Linked DNA regions of Saccharomyces cerevisiae S288C. The gene in region 3 interacts genetically with the main gene of each other region. Each region holds a gene or a part of one and is shown on either strand. Other genes may lie near its edges. The genes, in order: STE50, DOT6, PKH3 and VRP1.

Region 1 (7,232 bases), on a different chromosome or scaffold from region 3:
GTTTTTGAAAAGATTAAGCGACACGATCGTACCACCCAGGTCCAAAAGATCACAGCGGCTGTCTCCATTGACCAAAGAGGACCGAGCCAACTGTATCTGTCCGCAGCCCAAAGGAATGAGCGACACCGCTTGGTTCGAAGCCATTCAGAAGAAAATGTTAGGAATGAATGGTACCATCAAGCTCCTAGAGACAGAACAGAAACTACTGGCTGACGAGAAAAACAGCGTGAGGAAGACGTTCTGGCCCATGGTGGAAGCACATTCACGCTCGAATGAATTTGCTTATCTGGAGAAATGCATCAGGCTGATGGCCTCTCAGAGAGCAATATGCTTTTGTCTTGATATAGAGGCTTTCGAAACAAACCAGAACGTAATCACCGAAATTGGGATTTCAATTTATGACCCCAGGGAAAATATGGTGCCGTCAATGGTTCCAATTACAAAGAATTACCACCTAATTATCGAGGAGTCCCTGGAACTTAGAAACCAAAAATGGGTCTGTGACTACAAGGATTGCTACTTATTGGGAGAAAGCTATGTTTTGAGCTTGAAAGAGTGCGTGCATTTCATTCAATCACTAATAAACTATTACTTGGTCCCGGTGACCGAAGAAGACAAGACATGGTCAAGGGCATTTGTTGGTCATCACGTGAGCGGGGATCTTAAGTGGCTGGAGACTATTGGTGTCAAATTCCCTGGCAGAGGGTATGAAGGCCATCTGGACCATACGCTGCTTTTGGCTGAAACTCCCGGTGATCTAGACGTGTTCATCTTGGACACTGAGCAGTTTTACAGGAAATCGTATGGCGAAAAGGGCAGCAGTCTGGGCAAGATTCTGCGGTTGTTCGAGATACCGCATGCGTTTCTACACAATGCCGGTAACGATGCCTACTATACCCTGCATTTGTTCATGAAGTTTTGCGATGTTAATTTCAGGAAAATAAGCGGCATGGACGATGTTCTTAAAGTAATGGGCCAAGTAAAAGTTTGGGGAGAACGAGACGTACGAGAGCCTAAAGTGGTGCCCATGTCGTATGCCATCTCCATCGAGGAGGCAGTCAAAAATCGGACGTACCGCAAGGGCGTCAAGAGCAGTAGGAAGGAAAGAGTCTGCCAAACGGAATTCGGTGGGTTAACGTATTTCGGAACTGCTAAAGACGCCTTCACAAGCACTCTTCCGACACACTAAATATATTCATCGATTTTTTTCCTGTAAATACAAACACATGCTTGTATACATATACATATACATATATATAAGCTCATTATAAACCTGTGTGCATGGAAAAAACTTTGTCTGCCCTTAATTTGCAAGAATAGGTTCTAACAATTCCTCCAATTCACCAGTCTCCCTCAATTCCTGCAAGTCGTCGTTGCCTCCAATATGTTTACCATTAATATAGATGTTTGGCACGGTTCTTTGGCCATTAATCTCATATAACGCAGCCTGAATGTCTGCGCCTTCCTTCATGTCATTCAATTGCAAAACCAGAACTTTGGACCTGGGAACCTTTAACTTTTCAAAAAGCGTGTTTAGGGCTGCATGGCAGTATGGACAGTACGTTTTGGATGCGACGAAGATCTCGTTTTCTGCAATAAGGTCCTTGACGTGCTTGATAGTTTCTTGAGATACCATTTTTTTTCCTTCTGAGGTTTTGTCTATTTGTATAATTATGCGAATGCTCGTATAAGTACTGCACGAAGTTCTTTATTTTATGCTAAAGTCCCTTTTTATATTATATAAACTTTTCATTTATTTTATATATTTACTCCTTTCAAGACAAAATTCCCACATCACGTGAATCAGGAGGCGCAAGGGGGGTAGTAAGGCAGTAGTAGATAAAGAAAACAAGCATCGCAATCTGGAAACGCCGTTGCGGCTGCTCGTTATCTGTAGACAGCTCACTTGTGCATGAAGTTCATGTTTTATAGATGATGGAGCCATACTTCAAGGTGATAACTATGAAACTGTTTTGACCTTGACGTGTAAAGTGATCAAGGTAATAGTTAAACTTTATATATGTTGTTTATCAATGTGGTATCCTTTCTAAGGATGAAGACAACACGATTGTGACAGTGTGAGAGAGTGATAAAGCATTGGAGGCAGGCAAAACAAGAACATGGGGTTTCTTTCGGATCATCCGCATACAGCTATCACCGAGACGATCTTTCGAATTGTCTCTTCAAGGGACTATACGCTAGAAGTGGAGTTAGCTCCCTTGATTCAGCTTATCAAAGCAGATCACAACGATTATAACTATACCGTGAACCAAGAAGAAGCTGCGCGAGCACTTAGAAAGAAAATAAAGTATGGGAACCGGCTGCAGCAGTCCAGGACTCTGGACCTCTTGGATCTGTTCATCTCACAAGGCGTGAAGTTTACAGTCATGTACAATGATGACAAGCTGCTGCAAAGGCTGAGAGGGATGGCTACGAACTCTGAAAACAGCGGGTCCGGTGAAAAGTATGAGCCTAGGATTATTAAGAAGTGCGCGGCGTATGCTATCTCGTGGCTAAACTATATTACGCAGAACAACCTTGAGAATGCGAGGGCGTATTCAGGTCTTTATCAATTGGGTCAAACAGTCAAACAGAGGTACTCGAAGAGCAGCCGTTCCCGCCGTAGCGGCGGAGGCTCTGGCGGACGGTCTAACTTCATGGATGATAGCGCCGACGACACTTTGTACCAGTCCAACTCGCTGACTAGTGCCGATAGATTGTATAGGATTCCACAGATCAACATGAACAAAGAGGCACCCAGGATTCGGCTCATAATCAGCGATGCTCTCGCGTCTGCTGTGTCGTTACAGAACTCGCTGATCGGGCTGCCCAAGGGCAAGTTCTCCACAGACGATGAAGAGGCCACGTCCAAGTTCATCCAGGCAAGGGCGATCAGAAGGAAAGTTCTTAGATATCTGCAATTGGTCACGGAGGGTGAGTTTCTGGGTAGCTTAATTCATGCCAATGATGAACTGGTGGCTGCGTTGACTGCATACGACGACCGAAGCGCTCAGGACGATAGCAGCGATGAAAGTGATCACGGCTCGTACGATGACGGTATTTATGATGAAAACGAGCAGGATAACAGCAGGTATATTGATAGCGAGTCCTCAGAGGAAGAGAGCTTGTCTTCTTATCAGCCGTCCACGATCTCAAACCCTTTCGGTGATCATAACAAAATTTGAAGAAGTATGTACGTATGCATACACACATATATATATATATATATATAGTACATTTAATCCTTCTTGAGGTTTAAAGACGCACTGTTCACACAGTGTCTGGTGTCCTTGGGCAAGTTTAGCAACTGTTTCCAGCCTTCACCTTCAAACACATGTCCCAAGTGTCCACCACACCTTGCACAACATATCTCCACCCTCGCAGGCATTAAAGAATTGTCACGATGATATGTGATGGCTCCAGGGGATACCTCTTCGTAGAATGCGGGCCATCCACAACGAGCGTCGAACTTGGCCTTGCTCGAATACAACGGTCTGTCGCAGTTGGCACAATGGTAGACACCGGACTCGTTGGTGTGTAAATACGCACCGGTGTTGGGCCTTTCAGTGGCCTTATCTCTCAGCACCATCAGCTGCAATGGTGTCAGGGCATCGTTCCACTTCACGTCATTCGATTCGTCACTCATTTTCTTGCTCTTATTCCAGTACTGCGTCAGTACAATGTTTCTTCTCCCTGGAAAAGTCCTGCGTACAGTTATAACGTACAGCCTGCTCCACTTATTCATTTTTTGATATTGCTTCCTTTCTCCCTTTATTTAAACTATCATCGGCGACATATTTCCCAATAGGCAAAGCTGAAAAATACTATCGCTAATTATAACAAAGAAGCTAGGTCGAAGGACTCGAAAAGACAGAGGTCGTACTAGCAGAGATAGCAAATCAGATGGAGGACGGTAAACAGGCCATCAATGAGGGATCAAACGATGCTTCGCCGGATCTGGACGTGAATGGCACAATATTGATGAATAATGAAGACTTTTCCCAGTGGTCGGTTGATGATGTGATAACTTGGTGTATATCCACGCTGGAGGTGGAAGAAACCGATCCATTATGTCAGAGACTGCGAGAAAATGATATTGTAGGAGATCTTTTGCCGGAATTGTGCTTGCAAGATTGCCAGGACTTGTGTGACGGTGATTTGAATAAGGCCATAAAATTCAAGATACTGATCAATAAGATGAGAGACAGCAAGTTGGAGTGGAAGGACGACAAGACTCAAGAGGACATGATAACGGTACTGAAAAACTTGTACACTACTACATCTGCGAAATTGCAAGAATTTCAATCGCAGTACACAAGGCTGAGGATGGATGTCTTGGACGTAATGAAGACCAGCTCAAGCTCTTCTCCGATTAACACACATGGAGTGTCCACTACGGTACCTTCTTCAAACAACACAATTATACCCAGTAGTGACGGTGTGTCTCTTTCACAAACAGACTATTTCGACACAGTTCATAACCGACAATCACCGTCAAGGAGAGAATCCCCGGTAACGGTATTTAGGCAACCCAGTCTTTCCCACTCAAAATCTTTGCACAAGGATAGCAAAAACAAAGTACCCCAAATATCTACAAACCAATCTCACCCATCTGCCGTTTCAACAGCGAACACACCGGGGCCATCACCTAACGAGGCGTTAAAACAGTTGCGTGCATCTAAAGAAGACTCCTGCGAACGGATCTTGAAAAACGCAATGAAAAGACATAACTTAGCAGATCAGGATTGGAGACAATATGTCTTGGTCATTTGCTATGGGGATCAAGAGAGGCTGTTAGAATTGAACGAAAAGCCTGTGATCATATTCAAGAACTTAAAGCAACAGGGTTTGCACCCCGCCATTATGTTAAGAAGAAGAGGTGATTTCGAAGAAGTAGCAATGATGAACGGAAGTGACAATGTCACCCCCGGTGGAAGACTCTAATGTGCAGTTGTCATGCACATCATCATACTAAACTTACACGAATAGGATAACATGTATGCTAGCAGAATATATATGAAAGAAAAAAATTATTGATGCCTTTAAACTTATACTATTATACTATATTATGTTATATTATATTATTAGTTTTATAGATATATTGAGATATGTTGAATATGATGACGAGGATGGTGGTTTAAGTGTATGGATTGAATTTTCTCTTAGCTTTCATTACCTTGATTCTTTCTTGATCTTCCTTAAATTTACTTAACAGTTGATTGATCTCCTGTTTTTTACGTTCTCTGACCTGAAATCTATAGAAATCTTTCTTTGCCTTTTTATCTATATTTGAAATTGGCTTGGCCTTATTTTCATGTTTGGATAATGGATTTTTGTTTAATATTTTCTTTCTTATGGAATTCAATGACTTGGTGTTCTTTCCTACAACTAATGTGAATCCATCCTCATCCACTATAGAACTTTGAACATCCTCTTGTGCTTGAGCTTCACGCTGTTCAAAAATTGCCATATGTGTATGAATATCTTCTTTCAAATAATCAATATCCAGTGGTTTGTAGAAGTTAACAAAAGTTGTGAATGATGGAGTCGTATATGTCCATTCAAATAGTTCATTTGGATGTTTGGCATGCAAATTCGAGTATTTTTTCAAAGCATTCCAGCAGTTATTTATACTTGCAGCATCAACAAATTTTAATAGCGCCGTGTTTCTTGGTGTGTATCTCTTCTCGTTGACGTCAGTGGAGGACATCAGATCGGAGGTCAATGCCGATAAATCTACTTCATGTAATCCAAATTCATCGTTATATAGTAGTTCCTCTACATGCGATACTGTATCGTATTTCCCACAGAGCTGCCCGACAAATTTCTTCATGTGCTCTATGTTAGATAATAATGGAAGGTTGACCAAAAACAAACAGTCAGACTCGTTGGAATTTGAACTCTGGTGTCTTTTAGCAAACATGAAATGCAACGAAGCTTCCTGGCTTTTGGGTAGTGCCTTGTGATCCGGTAATTTGAACGGCACCACTATAAACCCGTTCTTCATGGCGCTAATGTCTTCAATACCCATCCCGTAACACTCTATCTGAGGTTGTTATCTGTTACCTAGTTCGTTCGCCCTAAATGCCTCTTGCTTTACCATCCTCTCAATGTTCTCTTCTTTTTCCTGCTTATTTCTTAGGTGACCAAAAAGTGAAAAATTTTCCAATTTAACTTACGTCGTTCGAAGTGATGACAATAAGGATATTCATTTATTAATCGCTATTTGATACCCACTCTTGCTACTACCTCTCTTTTAATCCAAAATTACAATTTTTACGTTACCATTCATTACATAGTGTATCTCTATTCATTCAAGACTGTATTTTGTTTGATATATATATGTATATATACATATTATTTTCGTTAGTGTTCGGTTTCCAAGTTAGAAATAATCTACTGGAAATCCTTTGGGATCAACCCAAGCTTACTCATTCTGATTTTCACAGCGTTTCTGTGACCGTCTAGACCCTCCTTCTTGGCAACGCACATAACAGCTCTACCGATGTTTTCTAAACCTTCAGGGGTAATGTTTTGGGCAGTGATAAACTTTTGGAAGGTTGCAGTGTTGGCACCACTGTACTGCCTAGCGTAACCATAGGTTGGTAATGTATGGTTAGTACCACTTGAATAGTCACCGCACGATTCTGGAGTGTAAGCACCCACAAATACGGACCCTGCATTGTCAACCAATTTAACATAATCGTTAGCATTGGCGATTTGTAGAATCAAATGTTCTGGTGCATATTGGTTGGACATTTCAAGGGCTTCTTCGTAACCGTCACAAAGAACGATCGTACTGTGAGCAATACATTTACGAACAATATCCACACGTGGCAGTTGTAAAGCTTGATTGTGGACAGCATCTTGAATCTCTTGAATTTTCTTTTCGCTCAAGTTAACACCAACAAGGATAACTTGGGAGTCAATACCGTGTTCAGCTTGCGATAGCAAATCACTTGCAACAAAATCCACATCGGCATCTTCATCGGCAATAACCAAAACTTCACTTGGGCCAGCTGGCATATCAATGGAACATAGAGCTTGAGTGTCATTTTGAACATACATTTTGGCGGCAGTCACAAATTGATTACCTGGACCCAAGATCTTATCCACTTTAGGAATAGTTTCTGTCCCGTAAGCCATAGCAGCAACGGCTTGGGCACCACCAGCTAGAACAATCTTGGAAGCGCCAACTTTTTCTGCGACATAAACAACTTCGGGTGAAACTT
Region 2 (7,929 bases), on a different chromosome or scaffold from region 3:
ACTCTTAGTCCCGTAGCCTCATCAGAATAAATCTTCAAAATCGAATTATTGCTGTTCGTGTTTTTCTTTGGAGCGGATGCCGCAACTTTTTGTGAACTTCCCTGTTTTCTCTTTTGCAAAGTACGTTGACCACCTGGAGGAGTTGGGCTTGACATTATGGAGTATGGTAGGAGGTAGAGTGTGGTGTTTTGAAGTGGTGGTTGAAATCTTTTCCCTTCATCAAAAGGCTACCGTGTATTAAAATAAAAACACGATTTTTTATGATGCTTTCCTTTTCCAATGTGAAAAGTTCAGGGTAACGTTGTTTGCGTTCCACGAAAAAAAATAGTTGAAGCGGAAATGAAGAATGGATGAATACGTCATATAAACCAAAGAAACTTTTATACTTTTAAATATGCTAAACTATAGAAATTTAATGAACAAGCCCGCTAAATTCACATTTTTCTTTTTGTTGTTGATATTTTTTTATTTTTATTTTTTTTTCATTTTAAGTTTTCCCCTCACAGCATATCCTTGAAGATAGTGTTTATGCTTGGCAGCGGACTGTTGTTTGTGGTAGTAGTTGTAGAACTAGAGTGGTTTATCATGTTATTGGTGGTTTCGGTAGTGATGGATGTAGTTGTGGAAGAAGGCTTCGGTCTCGGAGTAATGGCTTCAGAACGAAAGTTGTTTAACAAAGCAATATCTTGCGGGTTTTTGGAATTAGGGGTGCGATTCATGGTTGCAGCCGAGGAGCTGGTATCGGAGGTTATGGTGCACCTAGAACCAGCATCAGAAGTATTCGATGAATCATCTGCGGGATCCGGTGAAAAGATCGGATCCGGTGAAACGTCTTTGGAGGATATGTTGGAACTGCTGGATGAAAAGACAGTCTTGTTACTGGATTGTTTAGCACGGTGCAGCGGGTCTACATTATCTTCGTCATCATCGTTACTACCATCACCCATAACGTCCTCTTTGTCGCTACCTTTGTCATCATCAGTGGTAGAACCACTTTTGAACATTCTTGGACAAGTTTTCTTGGACAGAGTTTTTTGAGGTGAATGTGTAGGAGACAACATATCCGCATCACTTGACAAGGCGTTTAATCTCCATTGAATTTCCACCTCAGTTCTCTGCGGCAAAAGAATGGATAGTTCCATAACGGATAGGTTTCTCTTTTTGTTTTCCATTAGCAAAGCGTCTTCATCTTTTGACCATAGATTAGTCGGATTACACGATGACTTCATAGAATGGCCAGAAAACGAACCTCGTTTAGACTTATGCAAAGTGGATGACGATGACACCGATGAAGAATGTGGGAGATCCATAAAGGTATAAGAGTTGGGGAAAATGGGCCCGTTGTTGGAGGTAGGACCTCCACTGTTACTTAAGTTGTTTAATCTTTGCTGAAATTCCTTCTTGATGACAGATTCCCTTCTTGAGTTGGTATTAGAAGTAGAAGCAGTGTTACTGCCGCTATTGTTGACATTGAATATGTTTGACACGGAATTTGGTGCAAGAATCATTGAAGACCGTCTTGAAGTGTTGTTACTTGAAACATTAAACGATGATCTTCTGGACCAATTCGCAAGCGAGCCCCTTCTTGACTTTGAGCTTAGTAAGACATGCGAAGAGTTTGGAGAAGACGGAGTAGTGGTTATTGCTACCTGTTGTGGATAGGCAAACGAACTTCTTCTGGATCTAACGAATACTTTAGGAATGAATCCATACTTCTCCTCATCATTAGACCGAACGATGGGGTCTTGGTTCAAAGAATTGGTGAAGGAGTGAGAGTTTGACCTTGGCTTTAGAGTCTTATGATGGGGATGGTGGTGTAGGTGTTGATGAGGATGATGAGGGAGTGCGGCCGGCAGCGTGGGAGGAGCGAACGGCATGGAAGAAGCAGCGTTTGAGACAATCGTAGTGGGAGTCACATTGGACGGAGATTGAGAAAATGACATCGATGCGTGAAACGAAGGCAACGAGGTCTTTCTGGAGGGAATCGGGATGGATGACGTTGTAGTGAACTCAGCAGTATCTTCCGTTAATACGTTTTCTTCTACCTTCTTGCTGGGCTTTTGCTGAGCGTTGGCAGTCTCATCGCCGTGGGTGATCTTGAGTGGGCCCGTATAGGTGTTGATGTCGATCAAAGCAGTCTTGTTCGACTTCAAGTTACCAGACTTCAACCTTCTCCATCTGAACTGACACGCGTTAGGAGTCCTGTTTGGGAAGTATTGCGAAATATCCTTCCAGCCCATTTTCTTGACCTCCTTTAAATGACGTAGCAGCAGATCATCTTGAGGGTCCCAAGAGGAAGGGTTCTTGCTCGAATTCTTGGAAGACGCAGATGCCGATGCCGAAGTCGACGATGAAGAGGAAGCTGGCAGAGAGGGCGAAGATTCCTGGGCTTCGTTCTTGGACATAGCTGTTGACGACGAGTGTGGCTGACGAGTGAGTGAGTGTAGCTGAGGATGGGTGTCCATGCTGCTCAAATGAATGGAAGCTGAGTTCAAACTGGTTGAAATGGACATCACGGAGCAGAGAAGGGAGGGAAGACTGGAACGTGCACGGAAGCTATTCGATGAGGTCGGATGAACTGACTGTGAAAAGGAGGAAACACGGATAAATATACTACAAAAGAGAGAAAAAATACAACAAGATACCAAACAGGACGAAAGAGAGAAGAAATAGAGAAGATGCAAAGAAAAGAACACTTTTCAAAACCTGTCCCTGTTTTTGTTGTACTCGGTTTTTTTCCTTTTTAAACTGTGTGCACTTTCTGATTCCGTCTTGTCGAGGCTGTCGGAGAAAAGAGTAGCACACACGACGATAACAATAGATACGGTAGATTGGATGGGGCACAGATGTGCAAGGCAATGCGCGAATCCTGTCTACGATGTCTGTACCGTCCATCCTTTCTCCTTTGCATCGGAAACATCCGCGCTGTCTACCTTAGGAGGACCTCATGGGACGGGCGCTGGGGACTCGTGCCCATCCGGGACTGGGGGTGAGATTTCACAACGGGGCCGCTGCTGGTCTCACCCTCTGGCCGGGCCGGTCCGTTTTTGTGGCGTCGCTGCAGGTAAACGCGCAGTTTCTGCGCGTTTACCCCTGAGGTGAATACCATCTTCAAGCGTCAAACTGCATCCGGATATCCTGCTGTTGGTAGCGATGGTGGTGGTAGTGGTGTATGCTCTTGGTTCTGGTGGTGTCTTGCGTCTTCTCTTCTCTTTCTGTTCGTTCGGTTCGTATATAGGTATGTATATATAATGAAGGATGGAAGATCCTTCATTGCAAGTGGGAACGGCCGGCCTTGTGGTCAGTGTTACTGTCATTCTCGGGATGGGAGGAAGCCGGGTCATGGCCCATGGTTTGGAGCAGTTGGGCCAAGGCAGACTGGGGAAGAGTGTAGGTGACTTTGTTCCCGTTGCTGTCTGTCTTCACTCCTCCTGTAGCACCAAGTAGCGCCTCCAAGGATGCTAGATCAATGGGGCCGGAGGTCTTGCTCTTGGATTGGCTGGAAGGGTCAAGATTTTCTGCATCTGTGTCAGCGTCCGTGTCGTCTATGTCCATTGGATCGTCGTTATCGGCGGCAGTCACCGAGGCCACAGCGGCTTCGTGGTCGCGAGTGAATTTGTCCTGAGGTTTCTTCGTAGTGATAGCGAACACCTGTTCGTCGTTACATTTGGAAAAATCGTAGTAACTAAACACCCTTCTTCTCTTGTCTGCAAAAGAACGCACTGATGTGCGGTGGGCCTTGGACTTCATACGGTCGCTCCATTGAGCGACGTCTTCACCTTCTTTCAGCAGCGCGACAACCACTATACTCATGTTGTCGCATCCAATACCCGTCCCCTCTGTGGTGGGAGCACAACAGACATCGATGATCCGCGAAGAAATTTCATTCAATGTCTTGCCTTCGCGAAGGCCGAGATGAACCAAGTCCACACAATCTTGGGAAGTCAAACAATCCCAGATACCATCACAGGCTAAGATTACAAACTCGTCCCTATCGTAATCTAGAGAATGCTCGAGAATGTCCGGAACACATGTCACTATTTGCTCCTCGGGGCCCAATTTGGGGTTGGATTTGAACTCAAAATCACCAATGGCACGAGAGAGCGCCAAGTTACCGTTGACCCTATCCATTTCTACGAAGCCATCAGCTGCCACAATACGTGATTTTTCGCTTGCTAGAGTGGGCTTGTGATCGTATGATAATGCCTTTGCGTTCCCGTCGGTGGCGAGTACGGTTCTACTGTCACCAGCGTTACCACATACTAACAAGTTCTGGGACTTTGATACTAATATGGATGTAGCCGTACATCCGCTATGGTCTTCTTTCATCACAGGATCTTGTAACAGTTTCACGTCTGTGTTTATGAAAGTATCAATCAAAGCCCTTGGTAAATTTCCTTCATGGAACGATTTCTGCTCTTGCAGGATCTCCACTATTTTATTACCACAGTATTCTGCTACTTTAGCGCCACCATGACCATCGAATATACCGTAAAATGCAATATGGTCCTTATCGGACTTTGTCAAAACATTAGGCTCTAGAATGTGTGAATCCTCCATTGACATCCGCCACCCTTGCATTGCACACAGTCCAAACGCGGTCAAGGAGTCAGCACCGGAGTGGCTCTCTTTATCAATTACCGGGTTTGATAGAATTTGTCCCATTTTTCTTTTTCTGGTTCTCTATATTTTATACAACAATGGAATAGTCAAAATCCTAGGGATGTTATTAATCGGAAAACTACTATCTCGAACGAATAGTTATAATTAATCAATGAAAAAAAAAAAGAGAAAGTAAAAAATGTTACAACAACTAATATACACTAATTGTCCTTGATAACAGAACTTGTTGTAGTTTTATTCCGTGGGGAGGAGGGTGAATTTTTTTTATTTAGTTTTAAAGAACAAAACAGAAGTCTATATACTTAGCACTATAATATCCAGTTTCAATTTGCTCTGTCAGAATCCGAATTGGCTGGTTTTCTTTGTTTTACCATCCCCTTCCATTTATCAGCATGATATTTTTTTTTTTAGAATAATCCTTTCAATCGTTGAAGTAGTTTGTGGGAAAAAAAAAGTTGTTAAAGGCATTAACGTACACAGTGATTTGCTGACTCATTACGATTTTTCACTCATCGAAGTATTGTTAGATTTTGATATATTAACATGACTAAAGGGCTATGGTCCATCGTAGCAGAAGGCAATCATCACTTTAAAACCGAGGCCACAATCGATAATTAGCACTGATATTCTGATTGGAAAAAAGGCAAAAAATGACCGCTTCCATCAAAATTCAACCGGATATTGACTCTCTAAAGCAATTACAGCAGCAAAATGACGATAGTTCCATAAATATGTATCCCGTGTATGCGTATTTGCCATCATTGGATCTGACTCCTCACGTGGCATATCTAAAATTGGCACAATTGAACAACCCTGATAGAAAGGAATCATTTCTGTTGGAAAGTGCTAAGACAAATAATGAATTAGATCGTTATTCATTCATAGGTATCTCGCCACGCAAGACCATCAAAACCGGTCCTACTGAAGGCATTGAAACAGATCCTTTGGAAATTTTGGAAAAGGAGATGTCTACCTTTAAAGTAGCCGAAAATGTTCCTGGTTTACCGAAATTAAGTGGTGGTGCTATTGGTTATATTTCTTATGACTGTGTTCGTTATTTCGAGCCAAAAACAAGAAGGCCTTTGAAAGATGTCCTAAGACTTCCAGAGGCATATTTAATGCTTTGTGATACCATTATTGCCTTTGATAATGTTTTTCAGAGATTTCAAATCATTCATAACATTAATACCAATGAAACTTCGTTGGAGGAAGGTTACCAAGCTGCAGCACAAATAATCACTGATATCGTATCAAAGCTAACCGACGATTCCTCGCCAATACCATATCCAGAACAACCTCCTATTAAATTGAATCAAACTTTTGAATCGAATGTGGGCAAGGAAGGTTACGAAAATCACGTCTCCACTTTGAAGAAGCATATTAAGAAAGGTGATATTATTCAAGGTGTGCCATCGCAAAGAGTGGCAAGGCCAACTTCGTTACATCCTTTCAATATTTACAGACATTTACGTACAGTGAACCCATCTCCTTACCTGTTTTATATTGATTGTTTGGATTTCCAAATCATTGGTGCATCTCCAGAATTGTTGTGCAAATCGGATTCCAAAAATAGAGTCATTACCCATCCAATTGCTGGTACTGTCAAACGTGGGGCTACTACTGAAGAGGATGATGCTTTAGCGGACCAATTACGTGGCTCGTTAAAAGACCGTGCAGAACATGTTATGCTGGTAGATTTAGCAAGAAACGATATTAACAGAATTTGTGACCCATTAACAACAAGTGTCGATAAACTGTTAACTATTCAAAAATTTTCTCATGTCCAACATCTGGTTTCTCAAGTCAGCGGTGTTCTCCGCCCAGAAAAGACAAGATTTGATGCATTCAGATCGATTTTCCCTGCAGGTACTGTCAGTGGTGCTCCAAAGGTTAGAGCCATGGAATTGATTGCCGAACTAGAAGGAGAAAGGCGTGGGGTTTATGCAGGCGCCGTAGGTCATTGGTCATACGACGGTAAAACAATGGACAATTGTATCGCTTTAAGGACTATGGTCTATAAAGATGGCATTGCTTACTTGCAAGCTGGCGGTGGTATTGTTTACGATTCAGATGAGTACGATGAATATGTCGAAACCATGAATAAAATGATGGCCAATCACAGTACTATTGTGCAAGCAGAAGAATTGTGGGCCGATATCGTAGGATCAGCTTAAAAAGGGCATTCTCTGTTTTTTTCCCCTTAGACGACATTTTTATAGTTTTCGAATAATATGATATAATGATGTATAGCAGGATCCTGAAAAGTATTATTCTTTCGACATATACATTTGGTCCGACTTACAACCAAAAAATTTTTGTTCAAAAAATATAGGAAATTTTAGAAAACGAATGTTGAATGCGTTATAAATAATACAGAATGTACGTGTATATAAAAATATAATAAAAAAAATGCAAGAGTTATGGCTTTGTAATAAAATTGATATCAAAAAATTACCCAAATAAACTTTTAAATGTGAACACAAAAATTAAATCACCGATGTTGAATCCCAGAATAAAAAACAAAAAGTTCAGAAAATATCATTACTTTGCTTCCTTTTTAAAACCTTAATTCTTGTATTGTTCACGGAAGTACTTGGCGGCTTCGACCATATGAGTCAAAGACAATCTAGTTTCTTCCCAGCCTCTAGTCTTCAAACCACAATCTGGGTTAACCCAGAACTTTTCAGCTGGGTAGCTCTTCAAGATGGTTGAAATCTTGGCGATAAATTCATCCTTTGATGGAATTCTTGGAGAATGAATATCGAATAAACCTAGACCAATGTGGTTTGGATAGTTTTTGAATTCAGCAATGTAGTTAGCATCGTCCTTCTTAGAGAATTCGATGGAAACAACATCAGCATCCAAAGCCTTGATATGGTTTGGATCCAAGTCAGAGTAACAGAAATGAGAGTGTATTTGAGTCTTGTTAGCAACACCAGAAGTAGCAACTCTGAAAGCTTCGGCAGCCCAGGTGTAGTAAGCAGATCTCTCAGTACCTTCTCTCAATGGTAAACCTTCTCTTAAAGCTGGTTCATCAACTTGGATAACCTTGATACCGGCAGCTTCCAAATCATTGACTTCATCTCTCAAAGCCAAAGCTAATTGCATAGCTTGAGTTTTTTGGTCGACATCGTCTCTTGGGAAAGACCATCTCAAACAGGTAATTGGACCAGTCAACATACCCTTTACTGGCTTAGAAGTGATGGATTGAGCGTAAACAGATTCCTTGACGGACATAGCCTTTGGTCTGGACAAGTCACCAACAATAATTGGTGGTCTGACATATCTGGAACCGTAAGATTGAAC
Region 3 (8,582 bases):
ACCACGAAAACCGACTGCAGACGATATTCCATTGGCTATGTTACAGGCTTTTAAACCGAAAAAGAGGCCTCCTCAAGAGAAGAAAAAAACAAAAAGTAAGACATCCAAGGCTGCATCTACAGCAAATAAATCACCTGCATCTGAATCTACCTCCAAGAAAAAGAAAAAGAAGAAAACTGTAAAGGAAAGTAATAAATCTCAAGAAGCTTACGAAGATGATGAATTTTCCAGAATATTAGCCGATATGGTTAACCAAGTGGTTAACACTTCATTAAAAGAAACATCAACGCATACTGCCACACAGGATAATAAATTAGAAAGCGAAAGTGATTTTACTTCCCCTGTACAAAGTCAATATACTACTGAGGATGCAAGCACAGCTAATGATGACTCGCTTGACTTGAATCAAATCATGCAAAACGCAATGGCTATGGTTTTTCAAAATCAAAACGACGATGAATTTGATGAGAACATTGTTGAAGACTTTAATCGTGGTTTAGGCGATCTGAGTGTTTCCGATTTACTGCCGCATGATAACCTTTCTAGGATGGAAAAGAAATCGGTGCCTAAAAGTTCGAGCAAATCTGAAAAGAAAACAGCTATATCTAGGAGAGCTTCCAAAAAGGCATCTAGAGATGCCTCAAGTGTAGAATTGACTGAAGTACCTTCAAAACCGAAGAAACCTTCCAAGACAGAAGTATCTTTAGAAAAGAAGTTACGCAAAAAATACGTCTCTATTGCCAACGAGGCTGCATCTGTGGCTAGAAAGAAAAGATGGGCTAAAAACAAAGAACTAAAGGAGAAAGAGAAACTTGAACGCCAAACTGCCAGAGAGGAAAGGAGACATAAAAAAAAACTAGAGAAGCAGAGGTTGGCTGAAGAACAAGAGGAACTGAAAAAAATTGTTGAACGAGGTCCACCTTATCCCCCAGATTTAAGACTAACTAAAAGCGGTAAACCAAAAAAACCATACAGAAGATGGACTCCGGAAGAGCTACTGAAACGATCACAGGAAGCTGAAAAACCGAGGAAGGTGAAAAAGGAAAGAAAGAAAAAGGAAAAGAAAATGAAGGTACCTTCATCTGCTTTGAAGAAAATTCCTCTCTTCAACTTTGTAAAGGGTAATGTTCAGCCAAGTGCAAGACATCGTCTGAATGACATTGAAGGTTCGCTATCCACTATTGGATTACATAAATCGCCTGACGGTGTCCGCAGGATTCTTTCGAGACCAAAGAGTGAAGATCACGAATGGCCCCTATCAGATTCATCTGCATCTCAAAATTACGATGCACACCTAAAAACTGTAGTGCATAAAGAAAAAATTCCTTTCCATCCCCCATGGACTATACCGTCTCAACCACCATTTGCACTACCCGTAGCTAGAAGAAAGAAAATACCAAATATCAAAAAGTATAGAAAGAGAACCAATAATTCTTTTCGTGTCTCCAAAGAAGGTACGGCAAGTACTAGGAACAGAATTTTACCGGCCATATTACTACCGATAATAAATACATTAAAAGCTGCTGCAAAATCGCAAACAGCTGCTGGCGCCACACCTGAGGAGGCAAGGAAACGGCTGGCAACCATTATTCAACATGCCAAGTCTACAGTTATTAGGGCAGCTTTACAAGCAAGGAAAAACAGTATGCAAGCCGCTCATTCTAAGGGAACTACCACAGAACTGGCAACAACTGCGTCTCGAATGAAGAATCCGCTGAAAATGATTCCTATTTTCAATACATCTCGAGTGAAACAACAATTAGACAAACAATTACCGGCCAGAAGTGCAGGAACAGAAATCAGCAGCTCTGAATCCCCTGATAAAGCCACGCCCGATCCCCACTCTAATTCTACAATCGCTGGGCATACTTTAAAGGGCGTTACTACGCCAATTAAAATAGAAGACAGCGATGCGAATGTTCCTCCTGTTAGTATAGCGGTTTCAACTATAGAACCATCACAAGATAAACTAGAACTTACGAAGAGGGCAGAGAGCGTAGAACCTGTGGAAAATAATGTTGAAACAGCGAAAGAAACCCAAAGCGTACAAGAAATTAAGGAGAATGTCGGTACCAAGGCTTCTGAGGAAGTTACTCTAACTGAAGACAAGACAAATGGGGATCCAAAAAATGAAAAGAGGATATTAATTGAATCTCCTGTCGAAAAAACGGATAAAAAGAAGCCAGGTGAGAAAATTGCTACAGATTTGAATGAAGATGCGAGCCTGTCTGATAAGAAAGATGGAGATGAAAAGTCTACATTGCATTCTGATGCAGCCCAACTTACGGGTAATGAACCAGACAGTGTAAACACGACAACAGGAAAGCCCAAATTAATTGATGTTTCTCTCAAACCGTTAAATGAAGCAAAACCAAAAATTCCCATCATATTTCCCTTAAAAAGACCGCAAATTAAGCCTGAAGTTAGCGTTATTAATTTAGTTCAAAATTTGGTAAATACCAAAATACCCGAAATAAAGAATGAATCCGTTGATTTGGGAAGTAATATCACCGACATTCTTTCCTCTACTATCACTAATATTCTGCCCGAAATCACAGCCACTGATGTTAAAAACTACCAGTATGAAGATGAAAACGTAAAATACCTGAAAAAAACACCAAGACAGGTTTTGAATTTGGATGGACTAGTGCCTCCATCGGGTAGATGTATTACCAAAGCTAAACGTGTCCGCCGCATTAAAAAGCTTTCTGCTGACGCCACTACCGCACCGGAAGCCGATGGAAAGGCAAACAGCGAATCCATTACTTACACATTCGATATACCATCTCCAGAAGAGGTACAAAGTAAGCGTAGTGTAGTCCTAAAATTTGCCAAGGCTAGATTGACCGAGGCGGAGTTGAGTTGTCTAAAGAAGGAGATTAACAATGTGAGGAAACGGAGATGGAGAGAGATGAACTCCACCAAGAACTGGGAATATGACGTAAAGTCTAGATTAAAAAAGCGTGCGAACGCATTTTTTGGGGAAGGAGAATCAGAAACGAAGTCTAAATGGATCGAAGAAAGATTTCAAGAAAAGGTAAGTCAAGAAAAGTACAAGGATCGCCTTGAAACTACTGAGACGCAAGCAAACAACACGAAGATTGTGATTGACGACAAGGAGATTTTGAATATTCTTGCGGTAAACATGAATAACCTTAACAAAGCACGCTGTATTGAAAAAGATATTCAAGAGTCGTTCAGGGAGGAGAAGTTAGCCTCTTTACAACCAAAGAAGAAGAGAAAGAAAAGCATTTTACACTGAGGTGTTACTAGACATAATTTAGTTCATATGTCCATTTCTGCATAATCATATATACTTAAAGTAGCAAATGTATATAGTTTTTTCTTCCGATTTTCGAAACTAATATTAGTATTGGAAATCGGCCCCTGCCATTGTGCAATTTACATTATTCTATAATTAAGCAAACGTGATACGTGGATGGTAATAATAGTTACAGTTAAAGTAAGACCGCTTAACATCATTCCAATCTGGCAATTGCTCGTCAAGAGAATATCTGGTGTAATCGCATTTCATACCATATGTAGCAACATCGATCTCAACAATTTCTTTATATACATCGTAACACAACGATCTGTCAGCGCCTAATCCGTTGAAAAATGAGAAAACGCCTTCTGGTTTAATTAAACCTACCACGACATCGTATAAGTCCAATATGTCTTGGTAGTGCTCGCTAAATGTATCATAATAAATACCATCAAAGAAAACTTCACCTTTGTCTAATAAATTATTCAACGTATCTTGCCATCTTCCCTCTAAAATAACCACATTATCCTTTTCATACCAACCATCCATTTTCATCTTGGCCAAAACATCTGGATGAGCTTCGCAAATATAGTGACGATATGGTTTTCGAGCTTGGATGAATGTATCGATGATCCCCATTCCAAATCCAATGTTTAAGATCGTAGCAGAATTAGTGGCCTCTGGATCAGGAAATAAGGTTTCGGAAGCAAGTTCCATAATCTTGGTTTCCCAATCCATCATAACACCGTCCTTATTTTCCTTTGTGATAAGCGCATCGTCTTTGTACTCTAGTTCTGTTTTTAAGTACACTTGTTGATTTGCCGCGGTAGCATCGTCATCACTACCAACTGATTCTTCTTTTTGACCATCAACTGCTGTTTGAACGCTTTCCTCAGGCTCGATACCTATTAGTTCATCTGTATCCAAGAATTCGACGTCGCCACCATTGAGTTTTCTCAGTAATAATTCAGCAGACACACCAGCTTCCACGAGCCGTCTATAAAGAGGGCTCTCCCTACTTTGATTTCTCTCTAAAAACAAATCACCCACTGTTTTGTCCTCGTAGTCAATAAAATTCCATCCAGCCCCATACTCAAAAAGAATATTCATCATATCCATCACCACTTGCAGTTCCTCATCCTTGATATCCAAGGGTAGCGATCTTGCTAAAACGTGTAACGGCGTTGTGTTTGAGGTTTTATTGTCGTCAGTGCTCTCTCTGAATTCCTTATCCCCGTTCCTGTTCTTTTCCTCATGCTCGAAGGCTGCGACCTGCTCCAAAGTATATGTAGCCGGTATACCAGATTTTAAGAAATGCTGCAGTTTTGGTACATAGTAACTTTGAGAAATGGGCCTCTCTGGGAAAGTAAGCAAAGCATGTAATTCTGACATACTTGAATATATTAAAAGTCCTTGGTGTAAACACCTAGCCGTTGCAACTGCTGGGTATTGTCAATGTCATTTTGCTTTACGCTTAGCTTAAAATGAGATGAGATGAGCTTTGAAAAATTTTAGAAAAAGAAAGGTGCCATCGATTCTCGCCGAAAAAGGAAAAGAATCGTTATAATCCTTCGAATCCTATATACACTAAACAAATATCTGCATTGGTCAACCCCAAGCACACGTACTGATGACTAGAGATGATACTGAAAGTGTTAACAATATAACTTCCTTACTCGCAGCTAATGTCACATATTGAGGTAACAATGGATCGAAACAATTTTCATGCTTACCCGCGCGGTGATTTCTTGGTAGCGAAGGGGTTTTCATGAAGGCAGCAGAAGAGAGGTACATTGATTTGAAAGTGTGAGGAAACAGAATAATAGTGCCTAAAGCCTAACCCAAGCAAGTAAGCAGTTCTTCCACGTCTTATCTATTCAGAGGCTGAAACAATTGAGTGAAAATTTAAAGAGTAGGTGTGGGACATTGGTATGACATATGACGTCTAGGAAAAGGTCTCCGCACGATTTCATATTTAAAGAGGAACTGGGCCATGGCTCTTACTCTACTGTGTTTAAAGCTCTAGATAAAAAAAGCCCGAATAAAATTTATGCCATTAAAGTTTGTTCGAAGAAACACATAATCAAAGAAGCTAAGGTAAAATATGTCACCATTGAAAAGAATACCATGAATTTGTTGGCACAAAAGCATCACGCGGGTATAATCAAACTATACTATACTTTTCACGATGAGGAAAATCTTTATTTTGTTTTGGATTTTGCCCCAGGTGGAGAACTACTTTCCTTATTGCACAAAATGGGTACTTTCAATGATATATGGACGCGTCATTTCACTGCACAGTTAATTGATGCATTAGAATTTATCCATTCACATGGCATCATTCATAGAGACTTAAAACCGGAAAACGTCCTTTTAGACAGGGATGGTAGACTTATGATTACTGATTTTGGGGCCGCTGCCACCATAGACCCTAGTTTAAGCGGAGATTCGGCCAAGTTTAACTCTGACAGCAACGGCTCAAAAGACAACCAAAATTGCGCTTCCTTTGTTGGTACTGCCGAATATGTCTCTCCAGAGCTGCTTTTATACAACCAATGCGGTTATGGCTCAGATATATGGGCACTAGGTTGCATGATATATCAGTTTGTCCAAGGACAACCGCCGTTTAGAGGGGAGAATGAGCTGAAGACATTTGAAAAAATCGTAGCATTAGATTATCCATGGGGACCCAATAACCGCATCAATAATAGCACATCACCAATAAATCCCCTTGTAATAAACTTAGTACAAAAAATATTGGTGATAGAGGTCAATGAGAGAATCTCTCTCGAACAGATAAAAAGACACCCATATTTTTCAAAAGTAGATTGGAATGATAAAATCAAAATATGGAGAGGAATCTGGCAATCACAAGGACAATCGCTGCAACAAACTACTTTGGGACTCCCAAATATACCGCAGAATATACTACCCACCAGACAATTACATGTAATTGACACTCCAGCACGAAGTATACAAATCACAAAACAAAAACGTAAGAAACCAACGAAAATTTCCAACACTACTAGTAGCATAGTAGTATGGAGAAAAAGGCTTGGTATATCAACAGGTAAGGATGATTTAGGCACCGTACCGTCCACTACGCCTGCAGTGACCGCCCCTAATGATACCAATGTATTAACAAATACGGCGGCACATTCTACTGCAAATATTGCCTTACCGCCTAATTCACAATCCAATCAAGTCAAGCGAGCACAACTAGTTGCACCAAATAGAATACCTCCCAAAGTACCGGTAATTAATGACAACGTGAGAAATAAGTCAATTCCGCGCACAAAGCCTAATGTGCCACCTTTGCAAACATCATCAATACCACAAAAGTTGTCAACATCGTCAGCATCGTCAGCTCTATCGGCGCCGTCAACAGAGATAAGGAACCAGGACTTAACACACACTTTAGATGGAAGAAACTCAATTGATATTCATGTTTTAAAACAAGACTACGTCTTCATTTATGGCATTCCATATGAACACGAAGGGCCTGCTATGTCTTTGAACAGCTACAATAAGATCGATAATGATTTAATTACGTCACTAGTTGCGCAGCATAAAGAAGAATTAAAAAACTCAGAGTCGTTTTTACAGGTATTGACTTTGAAGAAGAGCGGAATGTTAAGTTACAAAAACACAGTTATGGAGGGAAATGATGATCAAGAAAACAAAGAACACCAGATGGCTAATATAGAAGATACAGACTTGTCCATGTACGATTTTGAATTCAATGAGTTGACAAGGAAGGGTTTTTTAATCCTGGAAAAATATAAGAATAGAATATGGTTTATCTCGCTACCTTCATATTCAACGTTATCCAAAATACCATTCAATGCCGTGAAGTCTTCGACAATAAATAACAATGAAAATTGGGTCGATTGCTTTTTCAGAGCAAGACAACTACTAGAAGAAAAGCAAATTCTTGATAAAATCAGTAACGTTTCCTTTGATAGTAAGGCATCGAGTGAACCATCATCACCTCCGCCTATTTCAAGAAAAGAGCGGCCTCTGAGTATAGGAAATAATGTAACAACACTCAGCTATACTGCAAAAAATGGAAGCCAGAACAATGCACCACAAAACGATAATGTTGGAGAAGAAAAACCTTTTCGCATACCTAGTAGTACCAAGGATAGGCCCGGTGCAAATTCCACTCCTTCTTCAAGACATCCTAGGGTTTTGTCAAGCAATAACGCTGGTGAAACTCCGAAAAAAATGAATGGAAGATTACCAAATAGTGCACCTTCTACCAATACATATACCAACGGTTCGGTCCCAGCTTTTAATCATAGGCCTTCTACTAATGTAGGGAACAATAAGCATAATATTTTAACTTCGAAGAAGCAGGGATCATCCGTATTTTCTCCTTCATCTTCTACGACCAAGCCTCAAATCAAAACAACAGGATATCGACAGCCAACACCTTCACCTCCACTTCCGCAAATGGAATTCCCAACTACGAGAGAAAAGTATTCTGCTCCTTCTAACATGGTGATCAGTAGCAGCAGATACGAGGTCTTACATACCCTTAATAACAGCCAAACAAACTTTGATAGGGAAATTGCTAGTAGGGGTGCCTCAGCAGCATTTAGAAGTTTACAGAAGAGTAAGAAAAAAAAATAACACGCTTTAATAATATTTGTGGTTCCTCTACTTCGAAACAAAAAAATATGCACGAGTTGTTGACGATCCAGAAAAACCAACATATAAATCATATCCAAACCCTTGTAGCATTAATATCCGTATCACTTATGTATTCAGAATGCATGTATTTTATATATGCCCAGTATATCTTCGATTGAAGCTCTTCGGCATTAGTGCATTGTATTTTTCAAGCAATGAATGCCAAAACTAATAAAACTATCAAGACGACAATAAGAAGTCCTATACAACAATCGTCGTATTTTTCTTTATTTTTTTCGTAGACCCATTCCAATTGCCTACGACCTCTAGCCAGCTTATTTACAACACCGTCCATACCCTCGTCCATATTATCCAACAATTGTCCCTGGTTCTCTAATTCATCCCCCATTGTTTGAGCTTGAATATGCAAATTTTGCATTGTCTTGTGAATACCATCTAAATGAACATCTTGTTCTCTTAACATTTGTTCCTGAAACGGATTGGACATACCACCATCATTGTTCTCAGCCATGCTGGTGTTAAGTGTTGAATTTTCCACCGTCTCTTCTAGAGGAATAGTTGTTTGAGTAGATTCCTGTATTCTTCGATCAAAACGCAACTTCAGAGCATCAAGTTGCTGTTTTATATTTTTAACTTGTGCTTCCCTACCACTCACGTCTTC
Region 4 (8,398 bases), on a different chromosome or scaffold from region 3:
TCTCTTCTATAATTATCATCCGAGTCCGCAACGCTGTCGTTATCAGATTCACTAAGCCCATCTGAGTCTTCAAAATCAGAAGCTGAAAGATCATCATCCGAGGAAAATGCTTTCTCGCTTGCTTCATCATCTTTTCTCATAGAATTAGTTTCTGTGGCAAAATCTCCATACTCTTCGTCACTTTTGCCATAATTTTCAAAGTATTCCAAACCTTCAAGAAGTCCACCAATAGCATCAAATTCATCTTTTGCATGTATAGCCTTCCTTTCTCCTTTCAAGCCCAACTTTTTTGCGTAATATTGCATGTCCATCTCGTCCCTTTCAAACGCTGATCTGTCTGAAGGGGCCAGCGGATAACTCACAAAATTCTCATTTGTATCTCTGTTACGAATATGTTTCTTTTCATATGAGTTACCTTTTATTTCTCCCGAGTTTTCAGCTCCTTGTATACCCTTTGCTTTCCGTTTCAATGATTCTAGTTTTTTCATTGTTTCTTCCGCAGACATTGCCTGCTCACCGCTTTCTTCTGCTACTTCATCAGTAAGCACTTCGTCACTATCCCAGTTTTCATTACTTTCTGATTCATCTGAAGAAATCGGATTTTTACCGTTAGCCTGCTTGCCTACGTTTTTCACACCTGCATTAGCACTCCTCTTTTCGGACGTTGGTGCTGATTTTAGCCGGCTGGAATTGATTTCTCTAGTTGATATAATTTTACGTTTCTTGTCGGCCCGTTCCATCTTTCTCTTTTCTTTACGGCTTAAATGTTTGCCATTTCCTCGTCTTCTCTTTTTTCCTTCTGAAATAGAAAACCTTTCATCTTGACTGTAGTCAAGAGTCTTCAACTCGTCCAAAATAACGCCTGGAATTCTAATACCATCTGTTTTTTGCATTGCCTCAATATTCTGCAGCTGTGGACTGGCTATCTTTAGTTAAGATGAGGCTTCGTAAGTAAGTTCAGTAGTCTTGTAAGCTCATCGCATTTTTTTTTTTTTGCTGGATTTTATATTTTTCACAGCGAAAAGGACGGGAAGCTAAAAGATTAAAAAATAAATATTGCAGATACCATATGTAATTTAGTAAAATATTTTTATAAAATATTATTATTTTCTTGTTCTTCAGTGATTTATTGTAACCATGGAGAAATGCTCACGTAAATAATGTTAAGTCCAATGGCACACTACTACCCTTTCCACTTGGATACAGTTTTGTTTTATTTTGAAAGGGACGTGGCTTAGGCATTTGTGACACATTAGTCCATTTAAATCTTGAATCATCTATAACAATTCTTTCATTTCCAGATTTGGCCCCAACGATAGAATTCGATCCCCCTATCGTATACCTACCTACATCAACATCTGGTTGATTTGTATGCGTATTATGCTTGTGTTGCAGCGTCGATCCACCTGTAGAAAATAACCGTTGTTTAAGGTTTTTACTGGGGCTATTAGAGGTACCGGTATCCATCGTAGATGGACTTGGTGGTGGGGGTGGCGACTTAGTGGGGTTCTTCGAAATTGATTCAGTTTCGGTACGAACGGAAAGTGTAGGCGCAACAGGAGGAGGTGATGGTATTGATGTAGACACGGATTGCTGAGGCAGACTTGGTGCACTAAATGTTGGCAATGGCGGAGCAGCTGCAACAGGAGGAGAAGGAGGTTTTTCGAGATTCGAGGAGGGAAGAACATCGTGTAATAAAGAAGCGGCGGGGACATTATTCTTGCTATCATCTGATAAAACTGGTGGAACTGGTGGAGGTGGAACGTGTCCAGGCAGTGCAGGGGCCTTTGCTTTTTTCATCCCTAACACAGTCTCACTCTTATCATTGGTGTGGTCATCACCTGATGCAGTTGGAGTCGGTAGCGATGTTATAGGAGGAGGAGGTGCACTAGGAGGCAAAGGAGGCGCCATAGCATCCGTATGGGGGGGTGGTGCGTTAAAAGCATTCGATGATGTTTGCTTATGTAATTTGGATTCAATTTCATCCAGAAACGACATACCATTTTGGCTACTCTGTTTAGGCGGGTTTATAGATGGAGAAATAGGAGAAGGTCTTACGTTATCATCCTTAGATGAACCTATTACATCCTCTTGTTTATCTTGGGTAGTGTATCCAGTATCACCACCAACCACGAATCTATCATCTCTCTTCTTTTGGATCTCAGCAAGAAATGGTAAGGGTCCCCCAGGTGTTACGGCCGAGGAAGAACTGGATGAAGATATTTTGGATTGCTTACTGGACGCTGAGGGTTTGTTTGTCGTGAGTGTTGGAGGAGGAGGAGGAGCCGATGGTACTGACGTTGCAACCGAAGGAGGAGGAGGAGGTGGTAGTGGTGCTAAAGGAATAGATGATGCTGACAAGGCAGAGGATGTTGAAAAAGCACCAGGTGGTGGGGGAGGAGGAGGTGGTGGCGCGGGCATTGACGATGCTTTGTTAGGAGGAACTGATGTAGTATTTGGTAACGGTGGTGCTAAAGTTGGGGGAACCGGGGTTGCTTTTACGCTGTTAGTCGACGCAGAGCTCATGGCTGCTGGTAGTGGTGGTGGAGGCGGAGCTGGAGCTGAAGTTGCTTTTTTAGGTGCAGAGGTCACATTTGGTAACGATGGTGGAGGTGGTGCAGTAGGCGGTAATGGCGGAGCATGTGATGTAGGAATGGGCGGAGCAGATGATGGAAGTGGTGGTTGTGAAGGAGATTTATGATTTTCGGTTTGAATCTTTGTGGAAGAAACGCCCTCGACGGCTCCTCGTTCAGACCTCCTGGCATTAATTTCTGCCAAAAATGGCAACCCGCCTGCAGGAACTTCAGAAGATGGTGGTGAGACTGCGTTATCTGTAGGTTTAATGTTTTTTGAGTCCAGGCCAATTGTTGGAGTTGGGGGAGGGGGTGGAGCTTGTGGAGGGTTGCTAACATGTGTTGGCAGAGACGCTGAAGGCAAAGGGGGTGCTGACACACTAGGAAGAGAAATATTAGAGCTTTTTCTTTGGTGGCTTCTGTGTGCTGGCCTTACTGAAGGCATATGCGGTCTATTTTGCGGTACCTTTGGAGCAGAGGCACCTGATAATGGAAGCGGTGGTGCTGGAGATGATGGTACAATGGGAATAGGAGGGGCCGCAGAAGATGGAATATCAGGAATTGGAGGTGCAGAAGACGAGGGAATACTAGGAACAGCGGGTGCTGGTGATAATGGTGCATTAGGAATGGGGGGAGCCGCAACAGATGGCACCGCGCCCGGAATTGGCGGTGCGCTCGCCGATGGAGAGGGTTTAGTGCTTGCATTGTTATTGATATGTTTTAACTTCGGTATACCTCCAGCTAAAATATCGCCCAACTGCGGAGCGCCCATCCCAGGGATTGGAGGAGCTGACATAGAGGGTCCTTTACTACTGACGGTACCAGAACTTCCTGAGGCCGATGAAACGACACCACCTCCCACGATTGGGGCACTTCTATCATTGGTCTCAGCTTTCTTTAGTTTCATTCCCTTTCTAATGTCACCTAACAGGGCGTCACGGCCCTGCATCACAGATTTTGCCGGTTTAGGAGCACTACCACCTAATGCTGGTGGAGGCGGTGGAGGAGGAGGAGCTGGAGCACCTGCCATTTCAACAATTCGTTATATATATGGTAGGCTTCTTCAACAAACGGTTGTGCGCTTTTTAGTCGTATGCTTTGTCTCATATCAAAAACTTTCTTCATAAGTTTATAATTTTAGATTTTGTTCAAGTATTTACTGACTGTGCGGATTATTCTTAAGGCCCCTATTTGAGGACGGCGGCCGCACCCGTAAGCAGTGACTAGGTTATGAACATTTCATTCTTTCTAAAGACGCTTTTAGCAAGCTTCATACAGGATAGTAGGATTTGAAGGCTAACATTGTGATTCCATCCTCTGTCAATGTTTCGTAACTTGAATATTTGCGACTTTTTCCATCTTTTGTGAGCTAAAATTTTTATCTTGCCCTTGTAATTTGAACTTAAAAGAGAATACAGCAATGTAGCGGACAAACCGAACATTGAAATTACCATTTTAATTGTAACTTATCTTGAAGGAGTTCCATACCGTATGTTATCAAGATACTTCTCAGGGCAATATCTACATTTACATATTTGCCTGCTTAACATCCGAACATTTCACATTTTGATTATTTCGAGAAAAAAGTCAAAAAATTTCTCAAAGAAAAAAGAAGTAATGCCGAACTGAGAGTGAATGCATCACATCGTTGCGAAAAACTGGTAAAAAATGACTTCAAGTTATAAGTAAATGAAAGATTAACAATATCTAATTCTCGATTCTTTTTTCAAGTTTCAGCCATAAGATACATAAGCGGAATACCTTTAAACATCCTGCAAACAGTCTAATAAATACGTATAATAAGTTTGAAATGGGAGGCATTCGTGAAAAGAAAGCTGAATACTTTGCTAAATTAAGAGAATACTTGGAAGAATACAAGTCTTTGTTCGTTGTTGGTGTTGACAATGTTTCTTCCCAACAAATGCACGAAGTCAGAAAGGAATTGAGAGGCAGAGCTGTCGTCTTGATGGGTAAGAACACCATGGTTAGAAGAGCCATCAGAGGTTTCTTATCCGACTTGCCAGACTTCGAAAAGTTGTTGCCTTTTGTCAAAGGTAACGTTGGTTTCGTTTTCACTAACGAACCATTGACTGAAATCAAGAACGTTATTGTCTCTAACAGAGTTGCTGCTCCAGCCAGAGCTGGTGCCGTTGCTCCAGAAGACATCTGGGTTAGAGCCGTCAACACTGGTATGGAACCAGGTAAGACTTCTTTCTTCCAAGCTTTGGGTGTCCCAACCAAGATTGCCAGAGGTACCATTGAAATTGTTTCTGATGTCAAGGTCGTTGACGCCGGTAACAAGGTCGGTCAATCTGAAGCTTCCTTGTTGAACTTGTTGAACATCTCTCCATTCACTTTCGGTTTGACTGTTGTTCAAGTTTACGACAACGGTCAAGTGTTCCCATCTTCTATCTTGGATATCACCGATGAAGAATTGGTTTCTCACTTCGTTTCCGCTGTCAGCACCATTGCTTCTATCTCTTTGGCTATTGGTTACCCAACCTTGCCATCTGTCGGTCACACTTTGATCAACAACTACAAGGACTTGTTAGCTGTTGCCATTGCTGCTTCCTACCACTACCCTGAAATTGAAGATTTGGTTGACAGAATTGAAAACCCAGAAAAGTACGCTGCTGCTGCTCCAGCTGCTACCTCCGCTGCTTCCGGTGACGCTGCTCCAGCTGAAGAAGCTGCTGCTGAAGAAGAAGAAGAATCTGATGACGACATGGGTTTCGGTTTATTCGATTAAGAAGTGCAACATGAATTATTAAGTTAATTTCATATATACTATTTTATAATTAAATAACATTAATCCTCATTGATTCATTTTATTCATGATAATGTACTGTCCGGTTCCTTGCGCTAGCCTGAGTTAGTCTCCGAATACCTGGCGATTTTCATATATTCTGAGCGGCTCTGGACACCTAACTGGATAAAAATACTTCCACTTAATGTAGTTTGGTTTTCTAGTTCATACGGACTATTTCAAAGTTCATGATTTGATGAGAGAAAGTAGCTATACTATCTTCCCAATTTACGCTTGTCTCTGAACAAAGGTTTTTATCCTTTATATGCTTATTGAAATACTGAGAATACCAAAAGTTGTCTTTTTCTCTACTATCGCTTGATTCTTTCAAGACGTCGGATATAAGAAATGTCACAAAATCAAAAATAGCTGCGAGGAAATAATGAAGAAAAGTAAAAGACGAAACTACTGCTTCGATGAGAGGTGAGCAGAAGCTCCCATAAAAAAAAAAACCTATCTTGCAGTATTTCTATGTTCCTTAAGAGATCAATAGAAGTAGAATATGTTTCGAAGGGGAGATAATTCAAATTTTAACGTACAAAATAGCTTCTTTCTTCCTTTGGAATACGAATATACCGTAAAAGATAATGTACCTTCAAAAAAAAAGAGTAGTATAGGTTTTTTTCCATTAGATGATTCTTTATTCACATCAAAAAACAATTCAGGGCACCATAAAAGCGAACAGCTCCATCGCGGTAATGCAGAAACTATCAGAAGCCAGTTTGGAACTGACGCAGTTCCGATAAGGATCGATGAGAAAGAAGGAAAGTGGGATAGAATTCAAGATGATAATTCTTCTAATTTAAACTACCAAATTAACAACAGTAATGACCCAGCTTCGAGTGGTAAATATACCCAGAGTATTGACTGTAACCATATAGCGGAGTCAAAATTTTCAAAAAAAAATGGAAACATTGATAGTCTTCGTTCAAACTCAGCAACTTTTATGCTAAATACTGCAGATGAAGACGTGATAGAATTTAGTTTTGACGATAATGTCCCTTATGCTGAGTTATTATCTGGTGCCACCCTTGAAAAATGTTCGTTGACTCTAAATGAAATAAACAAAAAACTATTCAATACGCTCTATGACTTTCGAGTAAGCAAAGATAATCCCGAAGAAAATTTGGTAGAACTAATACTTCCGAACTGCGTGGTGTTATTAAACTTTTTTGAAGACATTGAACTCTTGGCCGACTCTTCTGATGAGGCTTTCGAAAAATCTACTTTCATTAACACAATTGAGTTCATTGTGCACGATATTTGGGTCGAAACGTTGATAAAGAACATAAACTTATTACAAATGTTTGATGCAGATTTGAAATGCTACAATGACAAGTACATAATTTGCAAGCTAAAGGGTCAGTATCCCTCCACAAATATAGTGGACATAATGTGCCGTTTGAAGCATTTTTCCAATTCTATTTTGGAAACTTTCAAATTCGGAATCGAGCTAAAAGAACAAGATCAATGCCACAATAGAAACACTATTATCAACTACGTTCTTTTCAGTAGAGTATTTTCAACGATTGTTTTAGAGATTCAAAAATGCTTTATCTTGATCGTTAAGTTCATGTATTCTGTCAATTTTTTAGAAAAATTTTCCGATGAAGTATTTTTGTCATTTATTGAAATTCTCATAAAAATTGTCTTTGAGCACCAGATTCCGCAGTTATTTTTGGGAATTGATGAAATTATTCAACTCTGGTTAAAGAACAATGAAGGAAAACGGCAACAACTCTTGAGCGCTTGGTGCAACGGAACTGTTCAAGATATGAAGCAAAGCCAACAAAGAGAGTCCTCAAACGCAGAATCTGAATCAATCACTTCAAGTACAGAAGAGGACGAAGAAGGCCTCCAATTCAATAAATGGGATGTGATTGAACCATTTATTGATAATATCAAGGCTTTGAATCAATCAAAATCCCATATGTGACGCAGCGATAAAACCGCGGCATGCAAACATCTACACAATTAGCAAGGGCAATCCATATTTTGTCTTTTCGCGCCCTGGAAAGGCCTAAGTAATGTCGTAAACGCATTCTATCTGTACTTCAACTCTCCTCTGTGCATTGGTTTGTGCAAATCACATTTTACGATACTGCCAGATTTATGCAAAAAGAGAAAACCAAGGGACCAGAACAAAGCAAAATTACGATAAACTTCGAATTCCTTCGTGCTTGACTAAGACAAAGGGATGGACGTAGCGATTTTTAGCGGGCCAAGAACTGGTTCCGAAAAAGCACAGGTACACCGAACCCTCAGCTAAGGAGGGACAGCACCGATGCGGAAGGACAAACTTTCTTTTTGCCTATCACAGTATCTTATCGAGCTAACTATTTTCGACACACATGAAAAAGCAGAAATATTAACGAAAAAGAAAAGAAAGACCATGTCATGTACGGGCAATCAGAATCTGTAACAAGCGCCATTTTTTTTTCTGTATCGGGCCCTCCTTACTGCTCTCCTTCCGTGTAACGCGTTATGAAACTCTAATCCTACTATCGGCGACTCTCTCGAAATTTTTCTTAACGCGTCCTTGTACTGCGTCTAACGCTTTTGCCACTTGGATTTCTATTATAGGAAATAGTCTCACTTACTGGGCGACGAATTTTCGCGTTTTGATGAAGCACAGGAAGAATTTCTTTTTTTTTTGGCTTCTTCTGGTTCCGTTTTTTACGCGCACAAATCTAAAAAAAGAAATAATTATAACCTAGTCTCGAAAATTTTCATCGATCCATTCGTTCCTTTTTTTCGATTTTTTCAGATCAAAATTCTTGTTTCTTTCTTTGTCTTAGTTTATATTAAAAGATATTTTGATTTTACTCCTGAACTATTTATTCTTTCTAAGAAGGCCAGAACACTACAGCTGTTTTAACCGACTACGAAGTTCTCCATTCTCGAACACTAGCCTTCATTTACCAAACAGGAACTAGCGTATATCATTAGTCCTTATTCGAAAAGAGATTGGTAGATATTTATTGTAGTTTGTGAGAAGGAGAAAATACTGTCATTGGAC

Evidence for each region.
Region 1: mutations in PKH3 (region 3) and STE50 together harm fitness more than expected from each alone (negative genetic interaction), as found in Saccharomyces cerevisiae (4 studies listed by BioGRID).
Region 2: mutations in PKH3 (region 3) and DOT6 together harm fitness more than expected from each alone (negative genetic interaction), as found in Saccharomyces cerevisiae (2 studies listed by BioGRID).
Region 4: mutations in PKH3 (region 3) and VRP1 together harm fitness less than expected from each alone (positive genetic interaction), as found in Saccharomyces cerevisiae (2 studies listed by BioGRID).

Annotation. Positions count from the first base shown.
Region 1 is NC_001135.5:59,538-66,769, forward strand, and holds STE50 (Ste50p), read left to right. Parts: upstream 1-3,903; coding exon 3,904-4,944; downstream 4,945-7,232. Other genes in the region: GFD2 (Gfd2p), read left to right, coding at 1-1,189; dithiol glutaredoxin GRX1, read right to left, coding at 1,304-1,636; LSB5 (Lsb5p), read left to right, coding at 2,121-3,185; MXR2 (peptide-methionine (R)-S-oxide reductase), read right to left, coding at 3,239-3,745; RRP7 (Rrp7p), read right to left, coding at 5,138-6,031; HIS4 (trifunctional histidinol dehydrogenase/phosphoribosyl-AMP cyclohydrolase/phosphoribosyl-ATP diphosphatase), read right to left, coding at 6,397-7,232.
Region 2 is NC_001137.3:332,676-340,604, forward strand, and holds DOT6 (Dot6p), read right to left. Parts: upstream 2,514-7,929; coding exon 501-2,513; downstream 1-500. Other genes in the region: Arf family guanine nucleotide exchange factor SBH1, read right to left, coding at 1-155; type 2C protein phosphatase PTC2, read right to left, coding at 3,271-4,665; anthranilate synthase TRP2, read left to right, coding at 5,274-6,797; MET6 (5-methyltetrahydropteroyltriglutamate-homocysteine S-methyltransferase), read right to left, coding at 7,189-7,929. UniProt on the Saccharomyces cerevisiae protein: Component of the RPD3 histone deacetylase complex RPD3C(L) responsible for the deacetylation of lysine residues on the N-terminal part of the core histones (H2A, H2B, H3 and H4).
Region 3 is NC_001136.10:1,389,918-1,398,499, forward strand, and holds PKH3 (protein kinase PKH3), read left to right. Parts: upstream 1-5,203; coding exon 5,204-7,900; downstream 7,901-8,582. Other genes in the region: SPP41 (Spp41p), read left to right, coding at 1-3,262; RMT2 (protein-arginine N5-methyltransferase), read right to left, coding at 3,419-4,657; TLG1 (Tlg1p), read right to left, coding at 8,109-8,582. UniProt on the Saccharomyces cerevisiae protein: Serine/threonine-protein kinase which may phosphorylate the same targets substrates as PKH1 and PKH2, 2 upstream activators of PKC1.
Region 4 is NC_001144.5:801,504-809,901, forward strand, and holds VRP1 (Vrp1p), read right to left. Parts: upstream 3,604-8,398; coding exon 1,150-3,603; downstream 1-1,149. Other genes in the region: SGD1 (Sgd1p), read right to left, coding at 1-893; 60S ribosomal protein uL10 RPP0, read left to right, coding at 4,384-5,322; SPO77 (Spo77p), read left to right, coding at 5,882-7,315. UniProt on the Saccharomyces cerevisiae protein: Involved in cytoskeletal organization and cellular growth. May exert its effects on the cytoskeleton directly, or indirectly via proline-binding proteins (e.g. profilin) or proteins possessing SH3 domains.